Linked DNA regions of Ovis aries. The protein of the gene in region 1 interacts with the protein of each later gene in a biochemical or structural test. Links are inferred from orthologs where the notes say so. Each region holds a gene or a part of one and is shown in the gene's direction. Other genes may lie near its edges. The genes, in order: PRKCB, RACK1 and RASGRP3.

Region 1 (3,649 bases):
TGTTCTTAGGTTGTGGTTGCCTCCTGTAGCTACTGAACACAGAGATTTCATGCAAATGGGTTTGCTGGTGAAGAAGGAGGAAGATCAGGCCTAGTGACTCAACTCTTCTCGTTAGATGGGAACTGGTGTGTGCATGTGTATGTGCTCACGCACGAGTGAACACATGCACACACACACACACACACACACACGTGCACGCGCGTTATCCCTCTAACTCAGACCAGGACCTTGTCATAGAGAAGGACAGCAGGAGGCATGAGAAATGGTGATGGTTTCTTCTCGAGAGCTTGGGGAGATCCCAGGCACTGGGTTGGCTTTCATCCACACCCTTCATTCCCATCTGGAGGGAGAATGGCTGCATTTATTTCCTGGTGCCTTGTAATTAAGGGTCAATGACTTCTCCTTCCAACCAGGGCCTCGTAGTGGCCCCGCCATTGCATCCACCAAACCCAGGTCTGGATGTTTCTCTCCATTAACTGGAGCATGTAAACTCTTGTATTTCTGGAGTTGGAGAATGTCTCCAGAGATGACTGAGAGCCAAAGGACAGCACTTTAAGAGACCTGCGGCTTAATGTTGGGAATCTCCGAGGTGAAGTATAAATGGGTCATTACTTTGAATCTTGTACCACAAAAATATCTCAGGGACCTTAATCCCATCTCCTCCAGGAATGAGGTTGGCCAGCTTCTTGGGGTGGAGTTGGGAGAACATGCCACATGCTACCATCCCCACCATCCCATGCTGCCATCCAGCTCCTGACTGCCCAGAAGGACACCACGGGCAGCTCATGAGCTACAGGAACTGAAGGTCGGGAGCCCAAGGTCACCTGCCGATCCGTGGTCATGAGAATTTTGCATTTTATGTTGCTCTCATTTCTGATCATCGAAACAATCTCTCCGAGGTAGTGAAAGGGAAGGGCTTCGAAAAGCCGCACCCAGTTTCGTTTGGTTCTGTTCTGTTTTCAGTTTCGTTTAGTTTATTTTTTCCACCCACCACAAATTCTTCTCTTCCCCTCTCATAGTGTGGGCGAAATGCTGAAAACTTCGACCGATTTTTCACCCGCCATCCACCAGTTCTAACACCTCCTGACCAGGAAGTCATCAGGAATATTGACCAATCAGAATTCGAAGGATTTTCCTTTGTTAACTCTGAATTTTTAAAACCTGAAGTCAAGAGCTAAGTAGCTGTGTAGATTTCCGTCCTTCATTTCTGTCATTCAAGCTCAACGGCTATTGTGGTGACATTTTTTGTTTTCCATTGCAAAGTTGCATCCATGTTTTATTTGCTGATGAAACTAGAGTGACCATGTTTCAGGACCCAAATGTCCTCAGGTAGTTTTGGAGCATCTCTGTGAGATGGGATTATGCAGATGGCACGTTGACAATGTGGCTGCATAATCAGCACATTATCAAAGTCCTTGTAGCATTTATTTTCCCCAGCATGTCAGCGATGTAGATCCAGCAGGGACAGAACATGACTGCTTTCTCCCCCTTTTTCCTGCACTGCCATTTTCATCCCTTTTCCAACGCCAAGCATCCAATCTAGATTTTTTTCCTGCCAAACAAGTGGATAATCGGATGTTAGCAGTATTCTCCTGCTTCCAGTCCTGGAGCTTGCCTTGTATCCAAGTAGATGGTTGCTTTGCCTTAGGGGGAATTTCCTCCATTCTTCCTGGTTTGGAGGCCCCAGGAGCTTTGGGGAAAAAACATGCTAAAAATAAAATTTTGGTTTTTTTTTTAACTCAAAAATTAAGAAGATTATCTAAGTCCTTTTAAAATTCCAAGAGTGTGCTTTTAGTAGTTTCAATCTAAGGGCACCTCCAGGAGTCATAAGGCAACCAGCTTGGGTGCTACCTTAATGCTGTAATTTCTGGTTCCCTGTGTCCCCCGATCACCTTCATCCCCAAACTACTTGAACAGGGCATTTGGACTTACTCCCTGGAAAGACATGGTCACTTTAGCAAAGTCCCAAAGGGCCATGGTTTTACATTACATTTCAAAGTTTATTTGCTTTGGGGTTTTATTTCTGTTGTTCAAATGCAAAAAAAAAAAAAAGTTACTCACTTTTGTTACACATGCTTTGAAATACGTGTCCAAATGTTATTAACCACAATGACCTGCTTTGATTTACCGAGAAGACGGCTCTAGAGCCTGGCAGACCCATGCCTGCTCGGATGGGATTTGTCTAGGTTTGTTGCTGGCTTCGGAAAGCTAATTAAGTGCTCTGAGAAAGATACCATGTCTTGAAAACATAGACAGTTGTATTCTTCACTTTGATGTTGTTTTGCAAGATGTTTGTGGAAATGTTTGTATCTGGATACCTGTTATGTGCCATTTTTCTTCTAGCATCGAGATACAATAAAAAAAAAAAAAAGCAAGAAAAAAGAAGAAATACTATTTCAAGGAAAACGGCTATCTATGAAAAACATGGACCCAAACTGCAGAATGGGGCCTCCTGAGGCTTCAGGACAGAAAAAATTAAAGCCAGATCTTAATCTTGGCCCCAGTGTTCAGCCAGTCAGAGAGACTGAAACTGTGGATCATTTAGAGACTCCTGGGGGCCTTTGATGGGGTGGGATGAGCTGGCTGGGGGGTTCTCCAATGAGATCAGAGCTCAAGGCTCAGATTCTCACCAGAGGCAAGTTTAGGGGCCAGCTAGGAGCAGGGCTGGGGCTGTTGAATTTGTTATCAAAATCACTACGCCTCTCAGCTCAGACTCATCCTTTCTAGCAAATAGCTTCATGAGCCCCCAGAAGCCCAGGGAAACCCCTTGATTGGGGAAATTCCGTTTCCCTCTGAGCAGAGGACAGCAGGTGGTCCCCCATCCCGCCTCCTGTCCCCCGCTGTCCTCAGGCAGCCCTGAAGGCAACTTTTGTCACAAGTCAAGTGATTTCCACAAGCGCCAGGGCTTCTAAGAGACCATCAAGGGAACTTAAAATACTTGACAAGTGTCCTTTAGGGGAGACTTCTCATCTTTAAGAAAATTGTGATTTGATTTCCACTTGGGCAAAGCCCCCTGCTGTTCACTCCTTTCTGCCTGCTCTCGTCTCCTTGCTGGGGGCTTGGGGACCATCCCTGTGGCCACTGTTGTGGGTCACAATCTAGACGTCAGGGGAAGCAGACTCGAAGCCCTAGCTCTCAGGCTTAGGAGGTAAGAGAAGGAGGAAAACTAGGGAAGAGCCTTCTCATTGTATTGTTGGGAAACTGGCATCAGGAGGGAGGAAGTGACTTGCCCAAAGTCAGCCAGTTGGAATGCAAACCCAGTTTCCTGAATCTCCATACAGGTCTCCCTCCTCTGTGACTGCCGTCTCTGAGCCATGCCCACCAACAGACAGGTTATTTGAAGTCTTTCATCTGGCTGTTGGGTCACCAAGCCTTTACTTGGATATACTCTCAGGAAGATTAAAATCAAGGAGAAACATTGGGCCATCGACAAGTCATGAGAGACAACTTTAGAGAACTACGTAGGATGAGTGAATAGATATAAATAAATAGGTAGATAGAGATAAATAGATATAAATAGAAAGAATATACTGTGTGTGTGTATATATATATATGTATTATATTTACTGCACTCTACATTTTCCAAATTGCTGACATTATTTTTCAAAAGTTTAATAGTTTCCAGAAGTAGATACTCAAGCCAAAGCCT
Region 2 (4,238 bases), on another chromosome or scaffold:
AGCTGCTTTCAAGGGATGGATTCTGGCCTTCTTCACACATCTGAGTAGCCATAGCCCGTAGAAGCTTTGCCACTGTCCCACACTGTTCCTTCCCAAAGGCAGGCCTTCTAGCAGCCTGCAAGGCCCTCTGTCAACTGCCACCCCCACCCCCATTGCATTGGTTTGGTCCCCAGGGCCTTCAACGCTCCAGCTCTGAACTTTGGCACTGATTCTTTCCTCGGATTGGAACATCCACCCATAAATCCCGAAAGATCTCTCCTATATCTTTCTTTGCTAAAAATCTCCCCCTTGAGCTCTTTTCCCCCATCTCATTGGATGTAAACTCAAAAAACAAAGAAACAGGTCCCTTTTAACCTGTTCACAGCTATGTTCCCAAGACCTAAAATTGCGTCTGGTAACCAAGAGGTGCTCACTAAGTTCTGTGCATTTGCTTTGCCAGGGGTCTCTCTGGGTGTTTTACCTATCTAATATACTCTCCACACCGTGTGAGGTAGGTACTATTATTCCCAATCTCATTTCATGAGAAAATAATACACGTGACAAACAGAAAAGAAATACTTGGGCACGTCTAGACACCCAGACCCAAGGACCTTTTTATGAGGTGGTTTTGCCCGAGCCAACCTTCCTCTTGAAGCCTTTCAGTTTCTGCGAGAGCTCTCCACGCTCCTGCTTAGGCGGGAGCGGGGTTTATTGTCCAGCAGCCCACAGACTAACTTATCCTTCATTCCCGGTTTTCCTCTCTGTAACCCATTCCTGCCTTAGTCCTGGGTGGACTGTCTTTCTTCACCCAACACCATTAGTGAATAAACCTCTTGAGGGAAGAGTCGCCGCCCGCGCATGGAATTTGTTAGGGTTTAACAGTTCACCTGAACGCAGCTTACTTTGAAATTTTAATATAGTATTATTCACATCGCCCACCGTTACTCACAATTGTGCCCATGAAATTAAGCTCCCTCTGCGATGCCCTCCGAGCCACCAAGCGGAAAGGGAGGGGTTCAGACTGTGCCACGTAAGGCCAGTGAAGCCACTAGGCTCCCCTTACTAAGCTCTGGGGCGTGTACTTCCTCTCTGACGCTTTTGAGACATCATTCCCCTACCATAAGGAGCCTTTTTAAATACTCAGTCATGTTGGTTTAATAAGGGAATTTGTACGGTGCTACCAAATTACGTTGTACGACGGTCTGGACCAGAAGTCTTCTTTTATCTCTCCCTTTGAACTACATGGCGCTGCCACCTTGAGCAGAAGTGAATTATGGGAGGGCGCCATTTCGTTCGAGAGGGCGGGTATTTCCGGATCCGGCGTGGGCGGTTCTCTCTTTTCCTCTGCAGGGCCGCGGTGGAAGCGGTTGTGCGGGTCGCCTCTCTGAGTTATCCAGTTCCATCCTTGTCGCTCCGGCGACACCCGCACTCTCCGTCGCCATGACTGAACAGATGACCCTTCGTGGCACCCTCAAGGGCCACAACGGCTGGGTGACCCAGATCGCTACCACTCCCCAGTTCCCGGACATGATATTGTCCGCCTCTCGAGGTACGGGCTGAGGTGCTGGATTAAGGGGCAGGGGTCGTTGCGCGCGTCACATGGTTGGGCCGGTGGGCTGTGAGTTGACCTGTGCCTAGGCCTCATCGCGGATGAACCGGTGATGCGTCCCCGACTTGGCGAGCCCCGAAACAGCTGGCTGCCGGGAGGGTTGCAAGGCTGGGGCCTTTCTAATCGCTACCTCTCAAACCCGTGTATGTATCTGTGGGCCCAGGAGCCTTCGGGTCGGGCGGCGCCGTGATGATCCCAACATGCCATCTGAGTGCCTATGCTGAAACCCAGAGGCTGTTTCTGAGCTGCTGCCCGGACCCTCTGCTCATTAAAAAGTGGACTCCAAGGCGGACCTCGTGTCTAGTCTCTCGGCTATTTCGGGGCAGCCCTTTCTTCCCCCTTTTTTTTTCCTTCTCATTCTCTCTGTACCTGACTGCATTTGGAGACTTCTTGGCGATTGCTTTTGCGTTCACGCTATTTAAAAATAGTTCATCTGAGGCTACAATCATGTATGGCACTTACTAGGAAAGTTTATTCAGTGGAACACATTGCAGTGAAAGCATCCAGTCCTTAGCGCCTAAAGTGGATTTTCTATTGCTAGTATTTCTTGCATCCTTTAGCAGTAGTTTCAGGAGGCCCACAGCTACTCTTCCATATCCAGCCTGCTGTGTGCATGCATTCTGGAAGTGAAGTCACTCAGTCGTCTCCGACTTTTTGCAGCCCCATGGACTGTAGCCTACCAGGCTCCTCAGTTCTTGGGATTTTCCCAAGCAAGGGTACTGTAGTGGGTTGCCATTTCCTTCTCCAGGAGATCTTCCCTACCCAGGGATTCAACCCAGGTCTCCTGCATTGCAGGCAAATGCTTTACCATCTGAGCTACTAGGGAAGCCCAATAAATAGATGTGGAATCGTTTTAGATTTTCGAAAGGGGCATCCATAACCTGGTAAAGTTTCACACACCTGAGTTAAATTCTCAGGGTGCAACTTAGCTCTGCTTGACTCTTGACTAAAGTTACTTGGACTTGGCTAATAACTACTCTCAGCCTTTAGGTAGTTTCCCTACCCCTAAATGCCCTTGGTTTATGATCCAGAAGGTCAGATGGTGAGCCGTGGGGTTTTTTCACTGGGTCTTTTTTTTTGTTTGTTTTGTTTTAACCTGCCCTTAGATAAGACCATCATTATGTGGAAGCTGACCAGAGATGAGACCAACTATGGTATCCCACAGCGTGCTCTTCGGGGTCACTCCCACTTTGTTAGTGATGTGGTCATTTCCTCAGATGGCCAGTTTGCCCTCTCAGGCTCCTGGGATGGAACCCTTCGCCTTTGGGATCTCACAACGCAAGTAGCTGCTCTGGGGCACTGGGGGAAAGCTGGGTAGAAAGCAGGTAGATACCATCAGGTTTCCCAGGGTAGTGATTGGGTACTTGAGTGGGAACTGTAAGGCACAGTACCTGGAGAAGATATTTGTGGTGGTTCGGCCTCCCTCCCCGTTGCTTTTAATTAGATACACAGAATTGCTGAAGAGTGGTCTGTTTTAGCAGTTTTATCAGATACTGCACTTGGGACTAGACAACATGTTTGAACATACTGTATATTGGGAGCTCAGTCTTGGGTGGTCAGGCATAATGGAGGATCCTGGTGATGACAGATGACATTGTCAGCCAATCCCCACATGGGAGTGAGGACATGTCCTGCAATTCTGAAGGGATTCTCTGGCATATTCTCGGCCAAGGGCCTGCCGTTTATCAAAGCCATGTCCAGGGTGGTGTGGGTAACGCAGCTCCATTGGGTGAGGAATTGGGCCAGGGAAACAGCCTGACTGGAAGAATGTTTGCAGTCTTTCTAGAGAGTAACCAAGTCCTCCTTCTCAGGGGCACCACCACTCGCCGATTTGTAGGCCATACCAAAGATGTGCTGAGTGTGGCCTTCTCTTCTGACAACCGGCAAATTGTCTCTGGCTCCCGAGACAAAACCATCAAACTATGGAATACTCTGGGTGTATGCAAATATACTGTCCAGGTAAAGTAAAGGCACATGCAGGGAGCATATGTTGAACATTTCCCCCATCCTTCTTAACTGGTGCTTTTATATGGTGATTTTAAGCCTCGTCTGGAACCTAAAGGGATTCTATCTTATCTTAAAGGTTTGGGTTCTGGAAGTGTGAATACAGGTTGTCAACATACTGAATATATATCCCACATAACTGAGCGGGGAGGGTGGGGTCTCGAGTTTCATAAGACGAGACAGTTTCTCCTTATTTCCTTTCCATCCTCTGCAGGATGAAAGCCATTCAGAGTGGGTGTCTTGTGTCCGCTTCTCGCCCAACAGCAGCAATCCCATTATTGTTTCCTGTGGCTGGGACAAGCTGGTCAAGGTGAGCTTGGAGCCAGGGCGTGAGGCCTTTACCAACCAGAATGTGTTCCCACTACCTCCCAGTTGGTCATAATCAACTTTGAATCAGCTTTGTCCCTTAACTGACCGTAAGTGGCCAAGATTAATAATTCTTGGACTTTTTTGTCACTGATAGAATGGAAATTGGCTCTCCTATCCAGGGATGCCTTTTAAGCATGGTGCCATGCCTTTTTTTGACCTTGATAGATCCAGAGCCCAGGTTCTTCACCTTTGACCCACAATTTTAGGTATGGAACTTGGCAAATTGTAAGCTGAAGACCAATCACATCGGCCACACAGGCTACCTGAACACTGTGAC
Region 3 (3,649 bases), on another chromosome or scaffold:
TGGAAATTGTTTAGAGGTAGGATGATCCTAACAAATGTCACTCAGAAGGGGACAGTTTTTTTCTTAGACAATAGGAGGTTATAGCCATACCTCCTGGAAAAACAGAATAGAAGTGACAGCAAGCGTTCAATACAAATGCTTTTAAACCCCATTAACATATTGTAGTTGTAAATATTCAAAAAATATGTATTTGGTGCTTACTATGTGATCAGTATTATGAAATACATGAAGGTTATAAGGCAAATAAGACAGATATCATTCCTATTATCCACTCCTCAAATGAAGTCATTGAACACTTGCTCTCTTCATAGCACTGGATTCAACATGGGGGAAGATACAAAAGAAGAGGGAGGGGACCGAAAGAAATCTTTTGTATAGAAAGCCTTCATTTATAGCTGAGTTTCCAGGAACAAAAATAATTTAAAGCAATGATTGTTTCCCAAACTGAACTTTTTCCAGACCACAATTAAATATTTCCTTATGAAGCAAAAAAGAACATTTCATCCTTATGAAAATATTTCTCTGTAAAAGTGTACTTTGCTGTATCATTAAGGACCCTTTCAGCTATAAGTTAAAAAAAAAATCTTGAAATTGTCTAAATAATAAGGAAATGGATTGTGTCACATACCTGGAAAGTCCAGTGGCAAGGCCAAGTCCATGCATGGGCTGATCAGAACTCTGGCTCAATTGCTCTGAATTCCGCTTAGTGTGAGGTTGTTGTTTTTGGTTTTCATCGGACTGATTTCCCTCCTGACTGGGTTGTCTGCAACAGTGGAAAAATTTTGCTCTTTTGTTTATGAAAGTTGGAGGTAGGGAAAACCCCTCTTTAGCTTTGTCCTCATGGAATAAAGGCCTTCTTTTTTTAGGCAGATTGGACCATCTCAAATCACACGCCCACCCCTGGGCCAATAACAGTATCCAGAGGAATGCAACATGTTGATTGGCTTAACTCTTATTCCTGAACCAATCATAAATCAAGGGGATGAAATTATGATGATGGTAGATCAGAACCTATGCTTGGACTTGGGCATGGAAACAGCTCCATCTGAGACACATGGGAAAGAGTATACTAGTCACCTTAGGGTCTATTAGGAAGGTCTGGTTGCTGTTAGACAACCAACAATAACTTGTTCATATGAACAGGAGAATTTAAGACACAGAAGCACTGCTGACTGACCTCAAACACTGTACTCATTTCAAGTATAAAGGGGCTCATTATGTGTTTCATTTTCCTTTAGATTAGTACTGAATTTCCAGTAGAGAGCAAAACATGTTTTAAATGTGAAAATAAGAACTCAATGGAAAAAAAATTGAAAAAAAAAGATAATTCAATGGAGGCTCATAGAGGCTTGGAACCACCAGTGTATACTGAAAAATTTTTTATTCAAACTCCTCTTTCTTGCAGAAAAAGAAAGCTAATGTCCCTAAAAGTGAAGTGACTTGCTTAAGGTCACCTTCTTACTTAGTGGCAGAGTCCAAAACCACAGCTATCTCACCCATCAATATGACTGTTCCTGCCCCTGTCCCTGTCCTGTCCCCTTCAAGTTATATCTCAAATGCAACTTTCTTGGAACTAGGAAATTTTAATATACTGCATATGTTAATATAATATATGCTTATTTTTCGGATTGTAATATTTCCATGAATTATTAAATACTTATATACTGATGCCATTTAACATCTCAACATCCCTAGTAGGTAGGCAGAGGTGTGGGCTATTTCTAGTTTGTAGCAGAATGGAACAGGCTGTGCAATTCATAGTCAGGTTTTCTAACTTTCTTTTTCCTGGTTAGTATCTCCCTGCATCAATGTTGGTGCAATCCATACTTCTCTTGGTAGCAGAGGAATTTCCTAGCCACACACTGTTGGGCCTGGTGGTGGGCAGAAGGGAAGGCCGTCTGAAAAATCTATTTTTCCATCTGTTCCCCAGAACTGGAATGAAATGACGGAACTGGTCTCCTCCAACGGCAATTACTGTAATTACCGCAAGGCTTTTGCCGACTGTGACGGCTTCAAAATCCCAATCCTTGGCGTCCACTTGAAAGACTTGATAGCAGTCCACGTCATTTTCCCAGACTGGACAGAGGAGAACAAAGTCAACATTGTGAAAATGCACCAGCTCTCCGTTACCCTGAGTGAACTGGTCTCCCTGCAGAATGCCTCCCACCACTTGGAACCCAACCTGGATTTGATCAACTTGCTCACGGTGAGTTCAATGGGCTGGAGCTTGTGCTCCAATAGACTGGAGCTTGAACCTCACCTCCCAGGGGATGCAGGAAGATCCATGCCAGCAGTTCACAATGAGGGCAGGGGAGGGGTTGGATGTGGGGTCAGTGGTTGGGAAGAAATCTCAAAGGAGGAAGGGTGGGGAAGCTACACCTATAACCTGCGTAAATTCAGACTGTTAAATATGGTCTCCAAGCACAGAAAATTCCGTTTGCTTTGAAGGTCCCAGTCTCTGCCCCCACAGCTCTGGTTTCTGGAGTTCTTAGAGAGGCCCCCCAGCTCTGTCCTCAGGGCTTCACAATCCTGCATCACACTAATCTAATTCATCACCCCCTTCGCTATGCCCTCAGCTCACTGGCTTCTCTGGATCCTCACCACATTGCTGTAGCTGAAGCCTGGAGTAAAGCAGGAACCTCCTCCAAGATCTCCCTGCCCCGACTCCCACCAGCCTCCCCAAATCACCAGAGGCACTTCCCAGTCTGGCCCTGGAGGCCCTTCCAGACTTGCTTTCTGACTCTTAGTCTCTCCTCGTTTCTGATCACCTGATCCTGCATCACACCTGCCTTTGAGGAGTATGGGGCTTACACTTTCCACCAGTAATTGCTGCCTTCTACTTTCTGGCTACTGCATTTTCTTGGAAAATTCTTTCCTTACCCCTCCATCCCACTCCCTACCCTGCATCCCATGACTAGCTTAAATTTAAATGCCTCTCTCTTTATTTAGATGTTCTCAGGGAGCATTCTGTTTCCCTCCAAAGCAGTAATGCATCTGACACCTGTGTTGCCCTTGCACTTTGTACTTTCTTATCTATAGGAGGTACCACTTGACATTAGATTTTTTTTTTCCTGTCTACTTGCCTTATGCATTGCATGTCCCCAGCACCTTTCATAGTACCTGGCATATGTAGGGGCTCAACAGATGAACTGAATGCTATAATTAGGAATGATGTCGGTTGGAAGAAATTAACCCACTTCTCATCATTTTGGGCATTAGTGGCACACACAGTTAGCTGGTCTCTAGGTCCTAGCACTTTTAGATACACAGGTGTGTAGAAGAGAATATTTCCCATTGGCTGCTTCTTTGTCAGGGGGGAAAGAGGCATAAGCAAATTCTCTCAGCTTAGCTGAAACAAGTGGAGGAGTAACTTCCTTGTTTGGGTTTATGACACTGTAACATTTGAAACTTGGCTGCAATACTGAATTAACTACTTCCTTCCAATGGCCATAGGAAATGAAAACAACAATCCCTCTGAAGCTCTGAAGGGCTAAATCCTCTAGGGCTGCTGCACTGGAACAAGAGTATGGTTCCTAGACCTTCTCACCCACTGTTCCTAGAACACATAATTGTCTACCAAAGAGTTGACCCCCTAGGTGTAGGCAATAATGGCAGCTGCCTTCTTCGTATAAAGCAGAAGTGGTCAACA

What was found.
Region 2: the proteins of PRKCB (region 1) and RACK1 form a complex in vitro, tested with the Homo sapiens proteins (2 studies listed by BioGRID). The link is inferred for Ovis aries from reciprocal best matches to the Homo sapiens genes PRKCB and RACK1.
Region 3: of the proteins of PRKCB (region 1) and RASGRP3, one has a biochemical effect on the other in vitro, tested with the Homo sapiens proteins (2 studies listed by BioGRID). The link is inferred for Ovis aries from reciprocal best matches to the Homo sapiens genes PRKCB and RASGRP3.

What each region holds. Positions count from the first base shown.
Region 1 is NC_056077.1:22,416,711-22,420,359, forward strand, and holds part of PRKCB (protein kinase C beta type), read left to right. Parts: intron 1-1,019; coding exon 1,020-1,178; 3' UTR 1,179-3,649. UniProt on the Homo sapiens protein: Calcium-activated, phospholipid- and diacylglycerol (DAG)-dependent serine/threonine-protein kinase involved in various cellular processes such as regulation of the B-cell receptor (BCR) signalosome, oxidative stress-induced apoptosis, androgen receptor-dependent transcription regulation, insulin signaling and endothelial cells proliferation.
Region 2 is NC_056058.1:38,114,177-38,118,414, reverse strand, and holds the start of RACK1 (small ribosomal subunit protein RACK1), read left to right. Parts: upstream 1-1,353; 5' UTR 1,354-1,419; coding exon 1,420-1,528; intron 1,529-1,768; exon of another isoform or gene 1,769-1,836; intron 1,837-2,694; coding exon 2,695-2,866; intron 2,867-3,159; exon of another isoform or gene 3,160-3,238; intron 3,239-3,399; coding exon 3,400-3,547; intron 3,548-3,806; coding exon 3,807-3,902; intron 3,903-4,167; coding exon 4,168-4,238. UniProt on the Homo sapiens protein: Scaffolding protein involved in the recruitment, assembly and/or regulation of a variety of signaling molecules. Interacts with a wide variety of proteins and plays a role in many cellular processes.
Region 3 is NC_056056.1:90,420,297-90,423,945, reverse strand, and holds part of RASGRP3 (ras guanyl-releasing protein 3), read left to right. Parts: intron 1-1,930; coding exon 1,931-2,206; intron 2,207-3,649. UniProt on the Homo sapiens protein: Guanine nucleotide exchange factor (GEF) for Ras and Rap1.